Drosophila melanogaster: one gene and its partner. The protein of the gene in region 1 binds, or shares a complex with, the protein of each later gene. Each region holds a gene or a part of one and is shown in the gene's direction. Other genes may lie near its edges.

Evidence for each region. Proteins that work in one complex are often made in the same cells at the same time.
Region 2: pho (region 1) and rept share a complex: the UniProt entries of both Drosophila melanogaster proteins name them as parts of the chromatin remodeling Ino80 complex.

What each region holds. Positions count from the first base shown.
Region 1 is NC_004353.4:1,178,284-1,183,787, reverse strand, and holds the start of pho (pleiohomeotic), read left to right. Parts: upstream 1-2,159; 5' UTR 2,160-2,198; exon of another isoform or gene 2,199-2,420; intron 2,421-2,506; 5' UTR 2,507-2,649; coding exon 2,650-2,740; intron 2,741-5,504. UniProt on the Drosophila melanogaster protein: Polycomb group (PcG) protein that binds to the 5'-CNGCCATNNNNG-3' sequence found in the regulatory regions of many genes.
Region 2 is NT_037436.4:19,253,175-19,257,890, forward strand, and holds rept (reptin), read left to right. Parts: upstream 1-2,165; 5' UTR 2,166-2,340; coding exon 2,341-3,786; 3' UTR 3,787-3,937; downstream 3,938-4,716. Other genes in the region: mRpL21 (mitochondrial ribosomal protein L21), read right to left, coding at 1,124-1,659, 1,736-1,805. UniProt on the Drosophila melanogaster protein: Acts as a transcriptional coactivator in Wg signaling caused by altered arm signaling. Pont and rept interfere antagonistically with nuclear arm signaling function, and are required to enhance or reduce arm activity, respectively.

The sequences.
Region 1 (5,504 bases):
CGCCACTTTATTTGAAATCTATTTAGATCGGATTGTAGTACCAAATACCATGACTGGCGTTGTGGAAGCCATGGAGAAATAGTATGTTTTTAACTCCCGAATATATATATAGTATATAGTGACGTAATTAAATAATTAGAATTGTCCACAAAAAAAAAAGATCAATATCCCAAGCGGGCAATCTCGCACCGGAAATAATATAAACAAATGGGCAATATGTGACATATTCACATAATCAGCACTTTCAGAAGAAATACAGAGTGGCGATTCCACGCCATGTACGCTAGCTGTATACAATAAATATCTTAAGCGGGCGATCCCGCTCCAGAAATAATGTAAACATAGGCAGTATAAGAAAGATTTTTGTCACTAACATATAGTCTTAAGCTGAGATCAAAAGAATAAAGACGTGAAAACCATCTCTATGATAATTTTTTATTTCTTAGCGTTGACCTTAGTCAACTGAAATTAGTTAGACTCAAATATATAACAATTATTTTACTGTATGCATGTATGCATATAGTAATGCATATTAGTTTACTTTTCCATGAAAATGCATTAATTATATATGTAATTGTATTTGTTGTATAGAAGCAATTACTGGACCACCGGCGGATGAAAAGGTGGACGACAATACGCAGCCTCTTTATTGAAGCAATATTAAAAAAGAAAATAATAAATTTAATAGATGAATTCTTTTTTGTTTTTATTTAAAACGTCGATGTTTTTTCAACATATTTCGCCAAAAACATCGATGTCCGCCATCATCGATATTTCTCAATCTCTATTAACAGAGTCAAATCAAAGACATTAGAATAACATGATTGGTAACGACCATACGTTGGTTTAGCACAATGCAGTCACTTTTTTGGTGACGGTCAATATTGACATTCTCTGGTAATCGAATTCGTAAGAATTTTACTTTTGTCTGGGCGAAATTAAAAGTAAATGCCTGTTATACATACATATATCTATCAAATCAGATCTTATTAACTAAGGAAAAAATATTTTATTCAGTGGTCTATCGATGTTAATTCCAAATCACCACAAGATCATTCTGCCAATGCGTTATTATACAAAAAATGTATTTCCGACCCCACCTCAGATTTGACAAACAACATTTTGCCGTCAGCAACAAATATTTTCGATTTAGCAAGGGGATTAGCAAAGGAGAAGTACGTTCCCAATATTTATTGCGAAGGCTGCCATACTGTTGGTAAAACGAAACAGGCAGGTAAAAATACTTATAAAATATAAAAGAATTCATTAATGAATTTCAGGAATGGCCAAAAGAGTTGTATGTATTTAATTAAATGTATTTTTATTACTTAAATGTCAAAGTGCAATAACAAAGTAATTGCGAACGTCGGACTTAAAACTGTAAAAAAAGGTGTCCGCTCTATGGTCTGGAAAACAGCTTGAACAGCTGTTTAATGTTTACAAAACATTCCGATAGCAAAAATTTTGCGAAAACCAAAACAGCTAAAAACGAAATCAAAAGATTTTGCCCAAATCGAAATAAAAAATAAAAATTACAGGAGCATGATTGACTATAAATTATCGCTGTGCATGCTTGGCATCTCTTACATCAGCACAAAACACAAGGATTGGCAGAATTGGCGCTTTTTCAAATCTACAGCAGAACACAAGATCAGTAGAGATGTTGAACCATCGGTGCCTGATCCCACGCAGTAGAAACTTTCCCCTTTCGTTTAACAGTTGCCTCTTTTAAATCTGTTCCAGTCTCATGTTAAGCTTTGTTAACGATGGGAAATTGGTTATAGCATGATTGCACTCGTTTTCCGAAATGAGGATGATTCCATTTCCACATTTTCGAAATGTATTTGTGGACCGTATCATATGAACTTTATTTATCACTAAAACTAATAGAAAAATATACACATTCTTTGATAGGATTTTCTTTAAGCATATGAAAAATTTAATTCATATCGGTTTACAAATTTGTAGTATTATTTAATTTTATGTTTTGCATGTATATTTCAAGCTATACCGATATAATTACAGAGATTACAGCCAGCTTGTTCTATATTTAGAAGCTAGTCGACGTGGAATCAAGATATATTTTGCGTTGTAAAAAAATACTAAAGTTTAGTATGTTGCAAAAAACCCAAATATTTAGGCATCGAATACCCATGCCAAACAAGCAGAATAACCTTTTCAATATTTTGAGTCATTTGGTATCGCGTTTTATAAAAATTACTTGAATTCTTTTGTTTTCCTCGGCTTTTAGTGAAACAATTCGACTATCATTAAATTTATGTGGCGTTTAATTAATCTTTCGTATTATTTCAATCAGAATTTTTTTAACATATTCACTACATTTTCTTAGAGAACCGTTTGTCATATTTAATGTATATTATGTTCCCTACTTAAATATGACAATTATTAATTCTGTGTGTGTACGTATCAATCATCCGTGATATTATATTCATGTCTTATATTGCCTACATATGGAATAATGGCAGTAAAAATGCTGTTCTTTCAGATACATCAAATAGCCTCAGGGAATGCAACGCTCAGGAAACATACAAATCTTACCTAACACATGTGCCTACAATTATCCTGGCATTTGAAATGCTTTAATACTAACTTTAAACTCATGCGTATGTGGATTATAGTATTGTAAATATGGCATACGAACGTTTTGGAATTATTCTTCAAAGTGAACAGTACGATGAAGATATAGGCAACACAAAAGTCAATCAGAAAATGAATGAAGGTAAGTTCGGATTTTACAGGCATGTCTATGTTTTGAAAATCGAATTATAGCAACAAAGCACTTTTTTATAAAGCGTAACAACAAAATACTGTTTAATGAAGCATAAAATATAAACATATTTACTTGTTATACCCGTTAGTCCTAGAGTAAAAGGGTATACTAGATTCGTTGAAAAGTATGTAGAAGGAATCGACCACAGTATTCTTACTCATGATCACTAGCGCCAAGTCGATCTGCCCGTATAAACGTTGAGATCTCGGGAACTAAATAAAAGATGTGAAAGTTAAGATAAAGCATGCACATTCTAGAGAAAATTACCACTTCTACTCCAACGCCCACAAACCTTCAAAAACTGTCAAAACTAAAATTTTAATATTGTTTAAGCCGCCATACTAACATTTTTAAGCCAAGCCCAGATCGTTAATGTCAGCTTTTAAGCGCCTTGGCATCGAAGAAATGAAGTATCATCAGATTGTTCAGTAATATGTTAGGTTAAGGTTTTTCCAAAGGAGGCAAGACTCGGAAGACTATCACTCAAAACACAGTGTTGACGGGTGTGAGGCTAATCCTCATCTCTCGTGAGTTACCTGTAATGGCGGAGACGCCGGGTACCCATGTAAGCGTTAGTTTGGGTGTGCTGTAGACGTTCAAGTTCAATAATGGTGTTGCTCACAGGCACGCTCTTGCTAGTGTTCGCTTGAAATGTTAATATGCCGCATGACTGTCCACAATCAAAGCTGTTATTCTGATTCCCATCTGACTCACATCGTTCTTTAATTGCTAAACTGCAGAGTCCTTATACCCTTGTGAGCGTTAGTTTAGTGTGCCGTAGATCTCCCAGTTCCATGATGGTGTTGCGCACAAGACCCGTTACCTTTTCGCTTTTGGCTTAAAGATTTAAAGAATATTATATGGATATGTACGGATTTGCGGATATCCTAATGTGCTTTTGAAGACATAGAATTTTAATTTAAAGTATTTTTAATTAGCTGCGCAAATAATTTTGTATAGAGAATATAGTAGCTAATTTGGTTGAAAATTTATCACGCTATATAAGTATTCTTAAACTCGCAAAGTAAAAGGGGTTTCGAAAAACAATGGCAACCGAAGGAAGCGTTCCCGACCCTATAAAGTATATATATTTTTGATCCAGTGAACTACCCAAGTCGAACTGGATATGTCTGGCAGTATGAATGTCGAGATCTCAGGAACTAAATAAGCTAGAAAGTTGAGATTAAGCATGCAGATTTCAGAGACAAATCCGCTCAAGACTGCTATTTGATTATTTTTCTCCACTAGTTGCGTAATGGGTATCTGATAGTCGGAGAACTCGAACATTTTCTCTCCTTTGTTCATAGATTTAAATATCAACATGCTGTGCATGCTTGCTTACACTGATATAATCGCCTTTACCCGAAATTGTCTGCCTGTACTTGTTCAATATTTATAAAGTATTAATTACGTTATAAAGTATATACATTATATACACTTTTTGTCCGTTTCTAGGTAAACTAGTTTCCAAATTTGAAAGAATTATTTCTTTAGAGGATCAATATACAGCTGAATTCATTGAAATATTTTCCCTGATCCCTCCCTCTCTTTCGTGAGCGACTTTTATTTTACTTTTGTAGAATGGACATTTACTTTTTTATGGTGTTTATTAGAATAGAGTTGTCTGATGTTGTTTAACGAAATAAAAATTAAAAAGTGAATTTGATTAAGTTGATTTGCATATTTAAAAGGACAATGCAATAAATAAAATTTTAAAGAGCCCAGAAACGAGGAAATAAATAAAACAACAAAGTATAAGTGTAATATTAGTAAGATCTAATTATGTGTTAAAAAAGTTATAATTGATTGCTGTAAGAGCGGCAGAGAGTAAAGATTACAGATAATAGGATTACGTCTATTATAGTCAGAACATAACATGAACATACAGAATGATTTAAGATTAAGGGTATGTAGTTTCTAGTGAATATACTTGGAACAGAGAAGTTTCGCCGAAAAACCAGGTCGGGACTACTCGTATCGTACTACTCGTAAACTTACTAATAAAGACTGTTCCAAGCATCGTTCTACGGTTAGCTAGGGAGGGTAACTGAATTAGAATTAGTCTACTGGAATGAGGAATAGGACCCACAAGGCAAACATTAAGAATTTTTTTTGGACCCATTCAATGATGCCCAGTCTCTGCCTAGCCTTCGTTGCATACGGACGATCGCGATAGTCTAGTCTGTTTGTTGTAACACATCAACAACTCTTCCAATCGTACTGTGCACGCGCACAATTTCTATTTCTATCCAATGCACAGCAGTGGTGACAGACAATTACGTTACTTATCATAGATAAGCTCAACCAAGCCGACGCTTTGTAAGCCCCTCAATTGTTATCTCTCGAGCTTGCGAAGTTGACAACTAGTAGTAACACCAATGTTACCAACACCATAACCACCCAAGCTAGCTGTTCGCAGGCAAGAAGTGCTGCAATGTCTGAGATGCCATATTTTTGGGCGTTCCAAAAACTATTGTCTCCGGGGTTCAATCTGTGGCAAGCGTGCTGGGCCCCACGCAACTGGCTCTACGCTATGCACGAGGGATAATTATTTGTGTATCAACTGCGGTGGTGATCATGCTGTAACTGACAAAAACTGTCCTGTCAGAATTGGAAATAACCCAAGGCTCCCTACTTTTGTTGCTCATGGCAACACTGTCAGCTCTGAAAAAGGTGAAAGCTTTACTCACGGATTCATTCCGGCTGAGGCCAT
Region 2 (4,716 bases), on another chromosome or scaffold:
ATAGTGGAATTCTTTGACCTCGCGTGTTCTTTCAATTTTCATTTCCCCCGCGGCCAAACTGAAACCGGAAAGGCCAAACTAGAAAATGGGGCCAGGGAAAAGCAAAAGCAGCTTTACCAGGCAAAGGCTAAAAAGTAAACGCCTTTGGTTAGTGAAAAGTGAAAGAGCAGCGTAAACAAATACGACAGCCGCCGACTCGGGAGCAACTTACATCTGCTGATAAAGAAAACAGCAGGCATCCCATGTGAGCCATGTCCATAGGTTATAAATCGTGGTCGGGCTGCCTGGTTGGGTGGTTCCGACCTGGCTAGGTAGTTTGGTAGTTTGGTTGGATGGTGCAGCGACGTCTTTTTTAATGAAAGATGGCAACAACATCATGAGCGATAAAAGGTTGTCATTAAAATTGCAGTGGTTCTACTGGTTGCTTCATTAGAGCAGGCGCCTCTTCTTTGTCGCGGTGCAAGAGTCGGGAGCTGGGTAGCTCGTATTCCAAACTAGGTTGCCGTTTTGGGTAAATACTGTCGGGCAGAGTCATTGAATCAAGATGAAAGTGGAATTTCTAATGGAAAGACAAAAAGCAACAGCAGAAGGGCAATATCTGCAAAATTCCACGAGGCAAAAATAGGAATGAAAATTGGTAAAACATTTGCTTGGTTTTTAAAATTGCTAGATAACTTGCTGAACATTCTGCCAAAACTTAGAAACTGTAGCTAGCCATATTTTAAAAGTTAATATGAGCTTAAAATATACTGAACTATAGAACTATATGTACTGTTAACACTGATATCAGTGACTGCAGTTAAAACCAAACTGATGCTTACAATTGATTTTGGTGACTTAGATAAAACAAGAACTTTATAACATTTCATCAATTACAAAATGGGTTTTATCTTAATTATCTGTATTGTAACAAAGTCCTAAGAATATTGAATTTTTATGACATTTATTATTAATGAATTAAGGGCAAATATACAAATATCACTAGAAAAGTTTCAACCGTTTTAGAAAATATACAAAATCAGCATCTGAATAAAGTTATCCTCTTCCAGTTCAAAGTGGTTTGTGTTTTCTTAATTACCTTCCAAAAACTTGGTTTATTTTTCGTGATCAACAGCATTTTAAACTAAAACAAGCGCCTCGAGGAAGACTCCCCCTCGCCATTCCCGTCCACTGGACGAGCCAGTTCAATTGAATTGATCCGGACCATGGTGTGCGGAGATCTCTGGAAGTTGATGCGCATGTACTGCTTCCTGCGCTTCTTCCTAAAGTGCGTCTTCGTGTGGCTGAGCGTCTTCTCCACGACGGTGGCCTTCACCAAGATGAGTCCGGGCTCCAAAATGGGCCTTCCCACGAGCGTGAAGTCGCGGGCACCGGCCAGGAGCACCTTATCCAGGCTGATCTCGTCGCCTATCGTTGGCGGCCAGTATCCCTCCACCAGGATGATATCTCCTGGAGTTACTTTAAATTGCTTGCCGCACAGGTGGACAACCGCGAAGAGTCGTCCCTGCTCGGATTTTTGCACCTGCCGGTTGATGCGCTCGCAGATGCTCAGGCACTCCTTCTGCTGATCCTTAGCTATGGCCGATAAATCCACCGATTCCGTCGCCGGCTTGTTTTGCTGCCCAATTACCGGCGATATGCTCAGTGGACGCATGGCACCTACAAAAGAATGGGATTTCATTGGGACCTGGTTATGTCACATTGTTTACATCGATGCTATTTAATATTCACTTACCTGCCGTCAACAAACTGCGATTGGGCACGTGGCGTAGCATTTGACGCATAGTTTGCGCTAGAAAGGACATCGTTTGGCTTTGTTTTTAACTCAAAAGTACATAAATAAATCGGATCGGTTTAATGTCGGCAGATAGGCAAAATGTGAATAACACTAACGCGTTTTCGAACAGCTGTGTTAGCATGCGCACGTTAACATCCCTGTTACATTTTCAGAAATAGCTTGTAATAGCTAGTACGACTAAAGCTTGAAGCAACTCAATAAATAACAATAAGTTACCGCACACTTGCAGATATTTCGGAAAATGGTTTCCTTTACATTTAATTTAATCGTATTATATTTAGCGGCTTGTGTACTTGTAAAACCTAGCTGCCGCTAGCGAATGTTCTCCCACGCTGCCATCACTGACAGCATGTGCTGCGCATAACAGTGCTGTGTAATCATCGAACTTTCAACACTACTCCAAGCAGGCCGGTAATTTCATATACGAATTTTATGCTTAGCAACTTATTTAAGCCCAGTAAACAACTAGTAAGCCACTGAAAAGATCGCACAAGAGTACAACTCCCGACCAGTGATACAGTAGACAGAATCAAAAGCACAAAATGGCCGAGACCGAGAAAATCGAGGTTCGCGACGTGACTCGCATCGAGCGCATTGGCGCCCATTCGCATATCCGCGGATTGGGACTGGACGATGTGCTGGAGGCTCGTCTGGTATCCCAGGGAATGGTGGGCCAGAAGGACGCGCGCCGTGCCGCCGGCGTTGTGGTGCAGATGGTTCGCGAGGGCAAGATCGCCGGAAGATGTATCCTATTGGCCGGGGAGCCTAGTACCGGCAAAACGGCCATTGCTGTGGGAATGGCGCAGGCTCTGGGCACCGAGACCCCATTCACTAGCATGTCCGGATCGGAGATATACTCGCTGGAGATGAGCAAGACCGAGGCTCTGTCACAGGCACTGCGCAAGAGCATTGGCGTTCGCATCAAGGAGGAAACCGAGATCATCGAGGGCGAAGTGGTGGAGATCCAGATCGAACGCCCCGCCTCGGGTACCGGACAGAAGGTGGGCAAGGTCACCCTCAAGACCACCGAGATGGAAACCAACTACGATCTGGGCAACAAGATCATCGAGTGCTTCATGAAAGAGAAGATCCAGGCTGGCGATGTGATCACCATCGACAAGGCGTCCGGAAAGGTCAACAAGCTGGGTCGCAGCTTCACCAGAGCCAGGGACTACGACGCCACTGGCGCTCAGACCAGATTCGTCCAATGCCCCGAGGGTGAGCTTCAAAAACGCAAGGAGGTGGTGCACACTGTGACCCTACACGAGATCGATGTTATCAATAGTCGCACCCACGGGTTCTTGGCCCTGTTCTCCGGCGATACTGGAGAGATCAAGCAGGAGGTTCGCGATCAGATCAACAACAAGGTTCTCGAGTGGCGCGAGGAGGGCAAAGCTGAGATAAATCCGGGAGTACTCTTCATAGACGAGGTGCACATGCTGGACATTGAGTGCTTCTCCTTCCTGAATCGCGCCCTGGAGTCGGACATGGCTCCGGTGGTGGTGATGGCCACCAACCGCGGCATCACTCGTATTAGGGGCACTAACTATCGCAGTCCGCACGGCATACCCATTGATCTACTCGATCGCATGATCATCATACGCACTGTACCGTATTCCGAGAAGGAGGTTAAGGAGATCCTAAAGATTCGCTGCGAGGAGGAGGACTGCATCATGCACCCGGATGCCCTGACCATTCTTACACGCATCGCCACAGATACCAGTTTACGCTACGCCATCCAACTGATTACCACAGCCAACTTGGTCTGTCGTCGCCGCAAGGCCACCGAAGTCAATACCGAGGATGTGAAGAAGGTCTACTCGCTCTTCCTGGACGAGAATCGCTCGAGCAAGATCCTCAAGGAGTACCAGGATGACTACATGTTCAGCGAGATCACCGAGGAGGTGGAAAGGGACCCGGCCGCTGGAGGCGGGGCAAAGCGTCGCGTGGAGGGCGGCGGAGGAGATGCCCAGCCCATGGAGCACTAGAGTCTAAACTGACATCGCAGCAACCCCCCAGTACATTCTCATGACTATTTTATGATCAATAAATAAGTTTCCTTGTATCTATGATTAAATTAAATGCCTACGAATTTGGTCATGGTTTTATAACGATTGTAATTAATAAACCATTATCAGCATATGGTTTCAAAGTTTTATAATTTCGGAAAAGGATATCAAATGGCCAATTGGGGTAGTTAAATACAGCATTGGCTAAAAATAAAATCATTTTTCTTCTCATTGTAGCAAGGGAATCAAGATAGTACAAATTTTTCAATAATTAACTTAAAAATTGCGTTTAGTAGCTTGCAAAATAATAATTATAATCAATAAAACGCAGAAATGAACTTAATGCGCATGTTATTCGATTCCTACTACAATTCTCACTAATTTCTAGTTTGAGCTATCTTAGGAAATAACTAGAAAAACAGCCACGCGTCTTGTACCTAAAAATAATTTCATTGCATTTATTTCGCATTTCAATTTACTGACATTAAAACTTAGCGTGAGCATATCAAAATATATCGTCGCATCATCTTTACATTGGTATAAAACTGTCTTTATGGCTTAGTTAGTCTCCTTGAGCGCTGCTCCCCTTTCAATAAATGAAATTTGAGTTTGATTTTCAAAGACCCTGGTGTATCGTTATAGTCTCGAGTGATCTGTCTAGTTCCTAGATGAACTCAACGGGTTTATACTCTTATACAATTTACAATTCCATAATGTTTATATATATATATATATATACGACTGAGAATGTGTTCTTAGGCAAGATAAAACAATATCTTATCGCCAAAATCCACACTGCATACTAGGGGATGACTCCACCTTGACTAGGCAGACAATATATATATATGTTCAAAGTGTGATTCAATAGCTAGTTAACAAATCTCTTATTACATGGTGGCTTCTTATTTG